Linked DNA regions of Mus musculus: all the other regions are reported to be linked to region 4. The links are microRNA targets in miRTarBase. Many come from high-throughput screens and were not tested one by one. Region 4 holds a microRNA gene; each other region holds the end of a gene's coding sequence.

Region 1 (3,000 bases), not on the chromosome of region 4:
CATGTTTAAGGCGTGACCCTGTGGTTTCTGACTCCGAAGCATTTCTGTATAGATCTCATTATACATATGCCCATTAGTCGTACACTTTTGAGAGCCATTTTTTAGAGCAGGCTTCTCAAGTCAGGGAAGATAAACTTCTCTAGAAAAAAAAAATATATTGCCATTTCTACACTGTTTCACATTTGAGTAAGAATGACAGAGTGTGGTAGGCCTAAGTCACTATTTTAAATTCTTTTTTCTGCTTCTGTTAAGGATAGTGATGCTTACTGACTCGCTATTGGGTTTCCTATGTAGAGGACAGTTTCTTATGGCTATAGTCATTTGAATAAAGTCAGAACTGACAACCTGAATTTTTCAATGAATATTCATAGTATAACCATCAAATGGTTGTAATTCAACAGCCTCAAGACTAGAATTCAGAATGTCTGCCTCATATTGTAAAAGCATTTAGTATAAAATAAGGTATAACCAATTATTAACTTAGCTACAAATTATACCTTTTTTGATAAAAATACTTGAATATTATAGGTTTAGCCGTGAGATATGGATCTGTCTACATGGAAGGTGGATTTGCAGACTTCCCATAAGCTGCAGAGGAGACTGTGGAGGTAAATGGGGTAGGGGTGACTTCTAAGTCACGACATTCAGAAAAGGAACCTGCTTCCTTGTTTGCCTCGGGTTTGTGAGGGCTGCAAGAATGCATGCAAATATTACAAATACCATTCATTAAAATTCATAGCTAGAAGCTGGAGGGAAAGTGTGTCCTGAGAGACTTTCCTGACTCCACACACAATGTTTCCTATGTTTACAGAAGACAAGGGCAAAACTGGAGAAAAATCTAGAAATAGTAAACCAAAAAAACTAATTTAGAGTATGATACTTTAAAAGCAGGAACCTAACCTCAGTCCAGAGTCCGTGTGTCCCCACTGCAGAGTTAAGTAGCCAGGAAAAAGTGCACAACGCATAACTGCACATTTAATATCAAAGATAAATAAATAACAGCTAAGGGTCTGATTTAAGAGCCTGAGGATAGAGAGACGAGGAGGAGAGAGGTGGGAGGCAGAGGCCATTCTTGGAACTCAGCCTCTGAGAAGAGCAGCACAGAATGCGTAGGAGCTGTGCCGTGCACACCTGTCAGCTGACTGAAACCACCATGTTAGCCCTTCTCTCTGGCCTTCCGTATATCCACTCCAGGGTGACCACGCTCTGTTTAAGTTCCCCAAATGTTGACCGAGTAAGCTGCCGCTCGAGAGACAAGGGCACTGTTCCTTCCTCACCTAAGATGCTGCGGTCTCCCTCCTCTGGAGAGGGCAGGCAACAGTATTGGGGGTTTCCTCTCACTACATTTTTAATGGCAGATACCAGTCAGTGTGGACATCCACGTTTTAGAGACTGCAGGCATCTTAAAACTTAAAAGTCAACTTGCCTTCCCATCCACATTTCTTGGTCACTACCAGCAATTACGTTTGTGATTTCAGTTCACCCTATTAGCTTCTTCTAACACTCTTGGAAAACACAGGAGCCTCAAAGTAAGAGATTCCAATCCATCTTCCCCTAACAGCTGCGCACAACACAGTTTCTAAGAAAGTGAGAAACAGACGTGATCCAAGGAAACGACCTCCGTCACTTTCTCCCGAGGGCATTCACAAATGTCATTCACATTTGCAAGCCCCGCTAACTCTGAGTGACCCCATTCCCTCACACCACCCCACTGAATCCATAGAGTACTCAAAGGGACACCAACACTGGCTGTGTCAGTGAGCCCAATGGACTGAATGCCCAGCAGAGACATCCAATTCATTGACTAACTTTGTACTGAACCTTGCTTTTGTACCTGGTCTGGTGACCCGCTCAGATACATCCAGTCACAGAAGCACCTTTGAGTTGTATGGATGTAAGAATAGTTGAGATAGAAGTTATTATATGCATCTTTGAGAATCACATTTTGATGATTATAAAAATTTATCTATTTTACAACATGGGTTTAGCTACACTGAAAAAATTACACAGCTTATTGAAATACATCTCATTTTAGAAACAGACTACTAAAGTCTATACAAAAACTCTAAAATAATTTCTGTAGTAAAATAAAGAGTGTGTTAAAAGAGCTACACAAAGAAGAAAATTCCCATCTTCTCTATAATGCTTGATATTGTGTGAAACGCAGCCAGCTCGACTCTGCAGCCAGCACCAAAAGCTGAACCGAATTCATTGCAGTACACAGTGATATAGTTAATGCTCTGGACTAACCTCACAGCCTTCCCGATCAGTATAAAGGAAACAGGCCCACCCCTCTCTGAGGAGAAGACCGAGATATAAAAGCAAGCATACCTCATCCGCTGATATGAAATTATAAAATCCCACAGTCACAGTATCTGAAATTTATAAAAGTCATCAGAAAATGCAAGCAAATTGGGCTTTAGTTCGGTGGTTCCCCTGGTTTCAAGGGCAGTCGTCGTCTTCACTCCGTCAGGCCAGTCTGAGGGCTCACCAGGACAACGGTGAAGGCCCTGAAGGAGGCCGTGGAGTCAGGCAGACCCCAGAGAAGTACGGCTGCGTCCCTTCTGCCAGCTCACCGTGGGGACGGCACTGGCTAGGGCTAATGGTGCTGGGCGGGGGCCGCACTGTTCTTCTCTGCCAGGTGTCTCAGAAAGGTGTCCTCGCTCTGGCTTCTGTGGTTTAGGGGTTCACTCTTGAAGAGGGCTGGGGGTGGGGGCAGGTGAGGCACAGGAGGGATGGGGAGGTGGTGCGCGTGGTGTGGATGCGTGTGTATGTGCAGGTGTGAGAAAGGGTGCGGGACGGGTCTCGAGGGAAGCACAGCACCCACGGGGCTCATACTGACTGCAGGGGCTGGGCTGGTGGGAGTGTTGGCCACGGCCGGAGCGGGAGCAGCTGGAGCTGAGGCCAGTGGGATCTGGACAGCTGGCGGCACATTCACTGGGCTGGTCACTCGGAAGCACTTCTCCTTGTGGGCCTTCAGCATGTTGGAAAAGCGGAACC
Region 2 (3,240 bases), not on the chromosome of region 4:
GCTCCCTAAAACTGTGCCGACTCCACCTACCACTGTAGCTGTGGCTCCCCTCCGTAACGTCTCTGCCACCCTGAAGCCTGAGCTTCTGTTGACCAGCATTTCAGTGACAGCTAAGACTTTGAAGCAGAAGGAGGCCACCACAGCATCACCTGTCACCACCGTGACCTCGAAGCTCCCAGGAGTCCCAGGGTCTACAAGTTTTACACCCGTGGTTACACATCAGGCAGCTTTGACTAACACCTTTCAGGCACATACAGACTCCAAAGGCATCTTAGAAACAATGCCCTTTCAAGGAGGCTCTACGCTGACTTCAGACCCGAGGCACGGGAAAAGCTCAACCTCAGAGTCTTCCATTACAAACAAGACTGCTTCCTGGGAGGACAGGAGGGTCAGTGTAGGCAGCGCATCGCTGAACAAGGGTCCAAAAAGCCAGCATGGCCTTTCATTTGAGAAGTGGCTTCTCATTGGGACCCTCCTTTGTGGTGTTTTGTTTCTGGTAATAGGTCTCGTCCTCTTGGGTAGGATGCTGGTTGAAGCCCTCCGTAGGAAACGGTATTCAAGACTTGACTACTTGATCAACGGGATCTATGTTGACATCTAAAGACAAGTTCGGTATCTCTTAGTTCATGTAAGAACTCATTGCCAATCGCACCTGTGTCCCTTCTGCCCAGCCGGTCTCAGCAGGAACTGTATCTTGAAGAATAGCCCTACTTCCCTCCCCCTCCCCCTCCCCCTCCTCTCCCTCCTCTCCCTCCTCTTCCTTTTCCTTTTCGAAACAGGCTCAGGTAGCCCAGGCTGGTTTTGAACTCCTGATCTTCCTGCCTCTGCCTCCTGAGTTCAGGGATTGCAGATTTTCACTACCATGTCTGGATTTTTAATTAAAAAAATTTTTTTTAATTTTTTTTTTCCCAATACTACATACAGGTCAGGGTCCTCTGCATGCTAGGCAAGCCATCTCCTTCTGAGCCATCCCTCAGTCCAACCACTTTCTGTTTGTCTGTTTGGCTTTTTTTTTTAAAGAGGAAGAGAAGAAGGGTTAAAAGAAACTAAGTTAAGTTACTGAGTGATCTGTCTGTAACATAGTAGCTGAAAATAATTCCTAACTAGAATGTTAAGTATACTTAAATATAAACTAGAAACGTAGTATCTGGCTTTAGATCAAGACAGCTTGTTGGTTTAGGACATCTGAGCTCTGATTCATTACTATTCCCCATTCCAGATAATGGCAACTGTTTGATACGAGTTTTAATGGGTCCTCTTTTATTTTTATTTTTTTATTTTATATGAATTCCAATAAAATTCATTCCAGATGTATCTTCCTCCAATTAAATATTTGAATAAATCTCTTGTTCTGGCGGCACAGCCAGCTGGATAGCTTTCAATTTCTTCCCATCAGCAAAGTGAGGGAGTGGGGAAGCAGGCACCCCATGCTGAAAACCTACGACCTCTCTTCCCACCAATGACCAAAGAAGTTCCTTAGGGAGGATCTTAGCAGAGTGTTAGTCCACCATGGAGACGACGGTTTTTTGTTATTTATTTGTTTAAGACAATGCCTCACGTAGCCTAGACCGGCCTCAAACTCTCCACGGAGCCAAGGGTGGTCTTGAATTCCTGATCTTCCTGCCTCTGCCATCCAAGATCTGGGATTACAAGTATGTGCTCCCCTCCCCCACCCCGTGACTGGCTAGTTAATTAGTTCTTATACACAGCCAAACAAGGGATTTAGGATTAGGCCTAACTTTTTTTTAAAAAGTGCTAACATTTTCTAAAATTGTACCAAGTCTAAAAATTTCTGACATTACTTATGACTATCTAAACTTGAACAACCATCAATTACAGGTTCACTGGGAATGATATCAGAAGTAATATGTAGCATTTTGATTAGTATACTATACTTTTTATTGGTTGCGTTCTGCAATTTTGGGGAAATGTTGATAAGGAAGAGATTTTGCCAGACAAGTGGGGTTAGGGTAACTAAGAGTGGAGAAGACCATCTGGGTCCGTTGGACCTCTCATCTCTGGATTTCAATGTGCTTATTGGCTATACAAGAATGGTAGAACCATCCAGATATAAACAGGTTAGTACATATTTGTGTTTGCACACGTATGTAGAGACCAGAGGTCAGTGTCAGGTGGTGTCTAGTTTGACACTGTTCTTGTGAAGAATACCATGACCAAGCAACATTTCCTGGTCAAACCTCACCAATGAGGGAAACGGGGCAGCAACTAAAGCAGGGACTGAAGCAGAAATCACGAGAACCCCTGCGGATGGGCTTGCTCCTTTCTTATATAGCCCAGGTTCATCTGTGTAGAGATGTACTGTCCACAGTGAGCTGGGTCCCCCTCCTTCATCCATCAGACAGAGGTCAATATCATGGAGGAGACAGTCTTTCTAGGTGTGTCACGTTGACAGTCAAGATACTAACACAGGTCATTTCCTCTACGATTCACCTATATATTTATTTATTTAGCTTCTTTTTCAAGACAGGTTTGGTGTGTGTGTGTGTGTCCTAGAACTAGCTTCGTAGACCAGGCTGACATGGAACTCACAGAGATCCCCCTGCCTCTGTCTCCTGAGTGCTGAGATTGAAGGTGTGCGCCACCACCACTCTGCTTTACGCCTTATTTATTTTGTTTAATCCAAGCTCTTGCTGAATATGGAGCTTACCGTTTGTCAAGACTAACTGGCCAGTGAGCTCCAGGAATCCCCCTGTCTCACCTCCCCGGTGCTAGGATTCCAGAATGCACCATCACACCTGCTTTTTAAGTGGCTGCTGGGATCTGATCTCAGCCTTTTCCTGACTGAGCTATTTTCCTAAGGCCCTAAACGTGGTTTTTAAAGGTAAAAATGGAGAGCTGACTCAGCAGTTCGGAGCACTTGCTGTTCTTACACAGGCCTGGGGTTCAGCTGCCGGCAGCCTACAGCTGTAACCATCTGTAACTCTAGTTCCAGGTGATCGAACATCCATCCCCTCTGGCCCCGCACAGGTACCTATATGTGTATATGTATACATACAATCTGGCACATACATACACTGAACACACACACACTTTGGACTTCACATGTGACCTAAACAGCAAGCACTAGAGGGCAGTAGCTGATTAACAAGGGTAGCCAGGAAGGCAGAAGGAGAAAATGACCCAAGGGCTTCTCCCCTTCCTCCTCACCTCTTCTCTCCTCACCTCCTCTTTCCTCAAGGCCTTCTTCCCCTCCATTCTCCTAATAACTGCCTCCCCCCC
Region 3 (3,240 bases), not on the chromosome of region 4:
GGGATACACTGTCTCCCTCTTTGATATCAGAGAGACTACTGCTGTTTAAAAATAAAAAGAAACAGAAAAAGGAAGAAAGGAAAACCCATGCATGGCGAGACAAACATATGTATAAAGAGAGAGGCATATCAAAGTGTGGGCGGTCTTGGCTTCCAGCAAATGTGTGGCCAGTGTTCTGAGCGTCAGCTACTCTGGGCCACATTATTTTGGAGTTGGCCATACCTCTGTCTCTTCTTATCATCAGAGTTGAGCTCAATGTATCCAACCACAAACAGTGGAGTACACCATTTCCAGGAGGTACAGTGTGCCCTCGGCAGAGCCGGTCCAGCCGCCGACTTCACCATATGGGAAAGCGATTCCCCGGAACAGGCTGTGGCCCAAGGAGTCTGCCCCTCACCGCAAGGACCTGGCTCGGGTGCTACCCAGCTCTCCCATTCTGCTAAGTGCCCTCAGAGTTGTCTACCCGATAGCTCTTCCTGAGGACCCGTGTACGTGAACTGTGGATCTGTGCAGGCCCTGGAATGAAAGGGGCTGGGCTGGGCTGAGTGTTCTGGGATCCTCCATTCCCATCCCCGGGAGCTGAGAAAATGCAAAATAACCCCACACTGAGTAAAGGACGAGACCATTATTTTTCACAGTTTGAAATTATAACCTAGCATCACCACTGGTCACACTGCAGAAGTGTCAGAACCCTGGGGGATGTGGCCCACAGAGTGAACACGGGTGCGTCTGGCCACCCTAACCTCTTGTCACTTTGTACTTGGGAAAGGAACACGTGCTGTCGGGGGACGTCTGTTGGCTTAGCGTCCTCTTCATCAGTGTCACTCTGTTTTATTGCCTATTAAAAGGCCTTGATTCCTTTTTTTTCCTTTTGGGATTTGTTTGTTTTGTTTTGTTTCCTGAATAGTTGTTTGTGTTTTTTTTTTTCTTTTCTGAACTATCTGCTATACCTTCCACAACCAAACTATGTTGAAGTTTTATTTCAATACTATGACAAAAACACGTTTCACACTAAAATATTCACGCATCCACAGTGCACAAGCTTGCGTTCTAAAGCAGAATGAAAAAACAAAAGCAAAATTTCTATACAAAGGGCTGGCTTTTCCCTTCTCCCCCCTCCCATCCCCTGAAAGTTTCTGTATTTTCCCCCCACTTGGTTTCCGATCCAGGAGAGTTGTATTATAACTCCAGACGATATTTGTTTTTTTTTTACAAATGTTGCCTAACTGAACAGAAGGCCGATGTCACTTTACTTCCATAGATTTCCAAAAGGAGACACTACTTCCCTGAAGCACACGCGCTCTTCCGTTCAAATCTAGATTCTGGGCTCTAAAGGAAGTGGTATGTATATATTTTATTTGGCTTTCTACAAAAAGGAGGTGTCTGGGGTAAAAAAAAAAAAAAAAAAAAAGGAAAAAAAAAAGAAAAAAGAAAAAAAAAGAAAAGTGTGTTCACCAAGACCAGCCCCAGCCCCAACTATACAATCTTCTCTGCTTCATTCAACAAAGCCAAAGGAGTCCTTCAGAGGAAGGGTGCGCAGACACCTGGGCAGTAGGTCCAGTGTCACAGACACAGGCAGGTGGCAGCTAATCCAAAAGTGGTCTAACATCCCCCATCTCCCCCTAAGAAACAGAATTAACAAAAAAAAAAAAAAGGCAAAATCATTTCAGAAGGAGGGGCTCTCGCCCCAGTTTGACACAGGTAAAAACTGTAATGAATCAGAATCCTCAGGGGTAGGGCAGGGGATGGTTAGGGGGATAGAGCCACTGTAAACAATCATCTTTTGTAACCTTCACCCATGCTAAAAGCAACCTGTGAGGATTCTACCTGCCTCTACGGGGTACCTGTTGCTTAAAGAAAAAACAGGGGGCGGGGGGGGGGGGGAGCTATTTTATACAGGGACATTAAACACAACCAAAGTCAAACGTAGTCTGTCAACTTGTAAACACTGGAAAGCAAACTTGATAAACAGGGAAGAAAGGGAAAGAAAAGAAAGAGTAGAGGAAAAAAAATCAAAAGCAAAAGAACTGGAATAAGCTGGCATTTGGCATGCTTCCTAAGAAACAGGAGTCCCCGTGGGAACTGAACTCAGCTAGCCAGAGTGCCACACTCCGCATATGGAACAAACACAAACTGAACGGAAAGTATAACTTATTTGTGAGGTTCGACAGAGTTCCAACTTGACTGAAAGTATAAAAATAAACTGTGGGCTTGGTTCATTCCTTAGTCTAAGTTCTTGGAAGCATTTTTTTCTGAAACTGATCTGTGCCAATTGGGTAATACCAATTGCAGCCTCCCCGAGCCTAGATCTATCTTTCTTTCTTTCTTTCTTTCTTTCTTTCTTTCTTTCTTTCTTTCTTTCTTTCTTTCTTTCTTTCTTTCTTTTTCGATCTGAGCTTCCTAGATTCTTAATCTGGGGCCCTTTTGTCTGAATTTTAAATGGTTTCAGGGAACGGAGTGTCCTAGTTTGGCTGTGGGTTTAACCTTTTTGTCTCTTTTTTTTCTTAACAAGTGAGTGTAAGACACAGGAGCCCTTTCTAGAACCCTACAAAAAGGCATTCCCGTGTTGTTTATCTGGTTTTGTTTTTAAAGGCAAAAGACACTAGAGGAATGTGTTTGTGTGTGCGTGTGTGTGTGTGTGTGTGTGTGTGTGTGTGTGTGTGTATGTGAGAGAGAGAGAGGGGGGGGGATTATTTGGGGATGCTCTGGTGAAGCCGCTGTGTCACTTTTCATTTTGATCTTTGCTTGTTGCTTGGTACCCATCATGCTTTGCTCTCATTCTCTTTTGTTTGTGTGGCATCGTTGGGGACCGTCTTGACTTCAGTTGGCGCTGGCTTGGCTTCTGACTCCGGGGGCTCAGACTTTGTTTCTACAGGGCCCTTTCTGCAGAGAAACAGAAACAGTGTTGCTAAGACCACTTAGTAGAGCTCTGAAAATACTGCCCTCCCCCTCTGAAAATACCACCCTCCCCCTGCTCCCCGTGCCACATGGGATGGAGGAGGCCTCAGTTGCAGCTTCAGCATCTAACCTTGCATGAACATTGAAATCACCTGAGAGCTCTCCAAACCACTCACACCTGGGGCATGTCCCCAGAAATCCTGGGTATAGTGACTTTAAATGCAACCATAATTCCAAGGTGCAGATGGCTAGGTGGAGATGAACTAGCCAAGAACAATCGTCTCCTCTTCCAGACTTAACTTTCCCCAGCCCATGTTAACCTGGGAGTTCCTCTCTCCCACT
Region 4 (3,240 bases):
ATGCTGATTATGGGGTGGATCCCTGGATATGGCAGTCTCTACATTGTCCATCCTTTCATCTCAGCTCCAAACTTTGTCTCTGTAACTCCTTCCATGGGTGTTTTGTTCCCAAATCTAAGGAGGGGCATAGTGTCCACACTGGGATTAAAGGAGTATATCAGCACTCCTGTCAAAAATTTTTAATTAAAAATAGATTGGTTGATTGCACATGGGTGTTTTCCTGCATTTTTGTATGTCTGTTCAGCACCTGCATGCCTGGCACATGTAGAGGATAGAAGAGAGCATGTGTCCCCTAAAACTGGAGTCAAAAATAATTGTGAGTTACTTTGAGTGCTGTAAGTTGAACAAAGGTCTTCTAGAAGAGCAGCCAATGCTTTAACTAATGAGTCATCTCTCCTGATCCAGATTTTATTTCATTTTTTATTATGCATATACTGTGGGAGCTTGTGTATGGATCTGTACACACAAATGCAGTGCTCTCATTAGCCAGAAGAGGGCACAAGAAACCCTAGAGCTCCAAGCTTAATGGCAGGATTGTAGAAAATATATAGATTAGTCTAATTTACACAATGAATTCCCATCCAGCCAGAGTTACATGGGTAGACCCTGTCTCAAACAAATAATTATGTATGCTGAACAACCTCCAAATTGACTAGAGTGAATACCTTAAATTGATTCAGTAGCTAAAAGGGTTTGTCAGGTCCATCTCTTTATTCTGCCCCAAAGGAAGAAACATAAGCAGTCCCGTTGACAATTTAGCTGGGCACTGGAGAGATGGATGGCTTTGTGGTTCAGAACATTGGCTGCTCTCTTCGAAGCACCTGGGTTCCATATCCTGTACTGACATCAGGTGGCTAAAACCATCTTTAACTCTACTTCAGAGAAACCAACATCCTCTTGATCATCTTGAAGCACCTGCATGCTGTAGTACACATACAAACACAAGCAAATACATACATGTATGCATAATATATACATGCAATATGCATACATGCACATGCACATGCACACATACATACATACATACATATTCTTTAAATTTAGCTCTAGGGCCTGGCATGGTGGGACATGCTGTTAATGCCACCTCTGTGAGACTGTGGCCAGGCAATTCTACATAGCAAGTTCCAGACTAGTCAGCTTCATAGTGATACCCTTTCTCAAAAACAAATCAATTAGCTTTTGCACATGCATGCACTTGAGAAATTGAAGTAGGAGGGTCAGGAGTTTGGGGTTCATCCAGGCCTACATGAGATCTCCACCAAAAAACAAAATCACTTTAGCCAAAATGATTAAATTGTGAGGTGTGCAACAGTATATATGACACACAAAGATGCATGAGCTTATGTACAGGAAGAGAGCAGAAAGGACACTGAGTGGCCTGCTCTATCATTCTCTGCTTTTTCCCCAGGCAGGATCTCTCACTGTACTTAGAATGGGGCCCCAGTGTTCTTCTGTTTCTGTTCAATAGCACTGGGGATATTGGGCAGCACATACTTTTTCATGTGGGTGTTGGGAAGCTGGACACAAGTCCCTAGCTTGTGCAACAAGTGCTCTTACCCACTGAGCCACCAGGAAATATGTAGTAGATTTTTTTTTAAATTTAATATCAAAGCGAAAAAGTCTGCATGATTAAAACTAAAGCCCTCGTAGCATGGTGGTATATATCTCAGCTGAAGACAGAAGAAAGACTGTAAAACTCGAGGCCAGCATGAGCTATCTAGTAAGTTCTAGACTACCCAGAACTACCTTGTAAAACTACATTGCAAAACACAAAGACAGTGAAATAATCCATTATCAAGTATTGCAGAGAAACCCAGCTTTCCAGCGTGGAAGTGGAAAGAGCCATCTGGGACAAAGTCTGCATAAAAAGACGACTGCACAAAACATGGGGAGCAGATTTTCTAGCTTGCTCTTGCTGCAGGGGGCCTTCCTAGAGGAAACCAATTGTTCCTTCTCCATGGAGAAACTCAGATCCATGAAAGTGGGGCAACGTGACTCTGTAATCTTATATTATCCATATTTCATGATACAGGAAGGACTATGTGCCTCATAGACCTAAATTAACACGAACAAAGAAGAGATTAGAAATTGCTTCTCCCTTGCTATGGAAAGAGACAGCATTTCACAGGGCCATTTATTGTCACAGTAACAAATGTTAACTTTGGAACTGGAGAGATAGCTCAGCGGTTAAGAGTACTGACTGCTCTTCCAGAGGTCCTGAGTTCAAATCCTAGCAACCAAATGGTGGCTCACAAACATCTGAAATGAGATCTGATGCACTTTTCTGGTGTGTCTGAAGACAGCTACAGATATGTATATTGTATATATATTGTGAGGTGTGCAACAGTATATATGACACACGCAGATGCATGAGCTTATGTACAGGAAGAGAGCAGAAAGGACACTGAGCGGCCTGCTCTATCATTCTCTGCTTTTTCCCCAGGCAGGATCTCTCACTGTACTTGGAACGGGGACCCAGTGTTATTCTGTTTCTGTTCAATAGCACTGGGGATATTGGGCAGCACATACTTTTTCATGTATGTAATACATGAAATACAGATATATTATTATACATAATAAATATATAAATCATTTACAAAACAAAAATATAAATAAATAAGCAAATGTTAACATTGAAAGTATTTGTAAGTTAAAACACTTGAATATTGCTGGGCATGGTGGTGCACACCGATAATCCCAGCACTCAGAAGGCAGAAGCAGGCAGATCTCTATGAGTTTGAGGCCAGCCTGATCTACAGAGTGAGTTCTAGGACAGCCAGGGCTGTTACACAGAGAAACACTGTCTTATAAACAAACAAACAAACAAAAAGCACTTGAAGATTTATCCATGTAGAGAAGGTATTGGGGCCAAGACAAGGTTCTTTCTCAAGTTTCTCTCTGTACTTTGTCATCACAAACCCTAGTTTATTTTAAATTGCTGTTTGACTTTCACTGTTTTTCTTTTTAACAAATACTATATAAATATACGGCTTCTCCTCAAAGCGGTGACATTTGTTGTAGGGGGTTGATGTATTAACAATCACTAGGGAAACTTGAGTCCCAGCTGAATGTGATGATGTGATCGGGCATACACATCCGTCTTCCCAACAATTACAAGATAGAAGCAGGATTATGAGTTTATGGTTAGCAATGGGTACATAGAGTTCATCCTGTAATATATGATGTCAGCCTAAGCTATGTGAGCTGTCAAACTATTATACTTAAAAATAAAATAAAACA

What was found. Region 4 holds the annotated microRNA mmu-miR-297a-5p (AUGUAUGUGUGCAUGUGCAUGU, at 996-1,017, opposite strand). A microRNA usually pairs through its seed, bases 2 to 8, with sites in the 3' UTR of a target mRNA and lowers its output. Matches are read on the target gene's strand: a 7mer-m8 pairs with bases 2 to 8, a 7mer-A1 pairs with bases 2 to 7 and ends in A, and an 8mer does both.
Region 1: the mRNA of Zfp652 is a reported target of mmu-miR-297a-5p. The part of its 3' UTR that is shown has no 7-base or 8-base seed match.
Region 2: the mRNA of Mansc1 is a reported target of mmu-miR-297a-5p. Seed matches in the 3' UTR shown: 7mer-m8 at 917-923.
Region 3: the mRNA of Ncam1 is a reported target of mmu-miR-297a-5p. Seed matches in the 3' UTR shown: 7mer-m8 at 2,662-2,668.

Annotation. Positions count from the first base shown.
Region 1 is chr11:95,763,659-95,766,658 of GRCm38, reverse strand. Zfp652 (zinc finger protein 652) reads right to left here. Exons shown (of 5, transcript NM_201609.2): 5 at 1,944-3,000. The coding sequence ends at 2,600. Among named protein-coding and RNA genes, the nearest start is that of Gm38957, 12 kb to the left of the region's middle.
Region 2 is chr6:134,607,329-134,610,568 of GRCm38, reverse strand. It overlaps Mansc1 (MANSC domain containing 1), which reads left to right. Exons shown (of 4, transcript NM_026345.4): 4 at 1-1,362. The coding sequence ends at 601. It overlaps Gm38910 (a long non-coding RNA gene), which reads left to right and starts at 2,566. Exons shown (of 2, transcript XR_869496.1): 1 at 2,566-3,240.
Region 3 is chr9:49,502,681-49,505,920 of GRCm38, forward strand. Ncam1 (neural cell adhesion molecule 1) reads right to left here. Exons shown (of 19, transcript NM_001113204.1): 19 at 1-2,883. The coding sequence ends at 2,763. Among named protein-coding and RNA genes, the nearest start is that of Gm11149, 14 kb to the right of the region's middle.
Region 4 is chr7:10,957,482-10,960,721 of GRCm38, forward strand. It overlaps Mir297-1 (microRNA 297-1), which reads right to left and starts at 1,031; the gene lies at 956-1,031.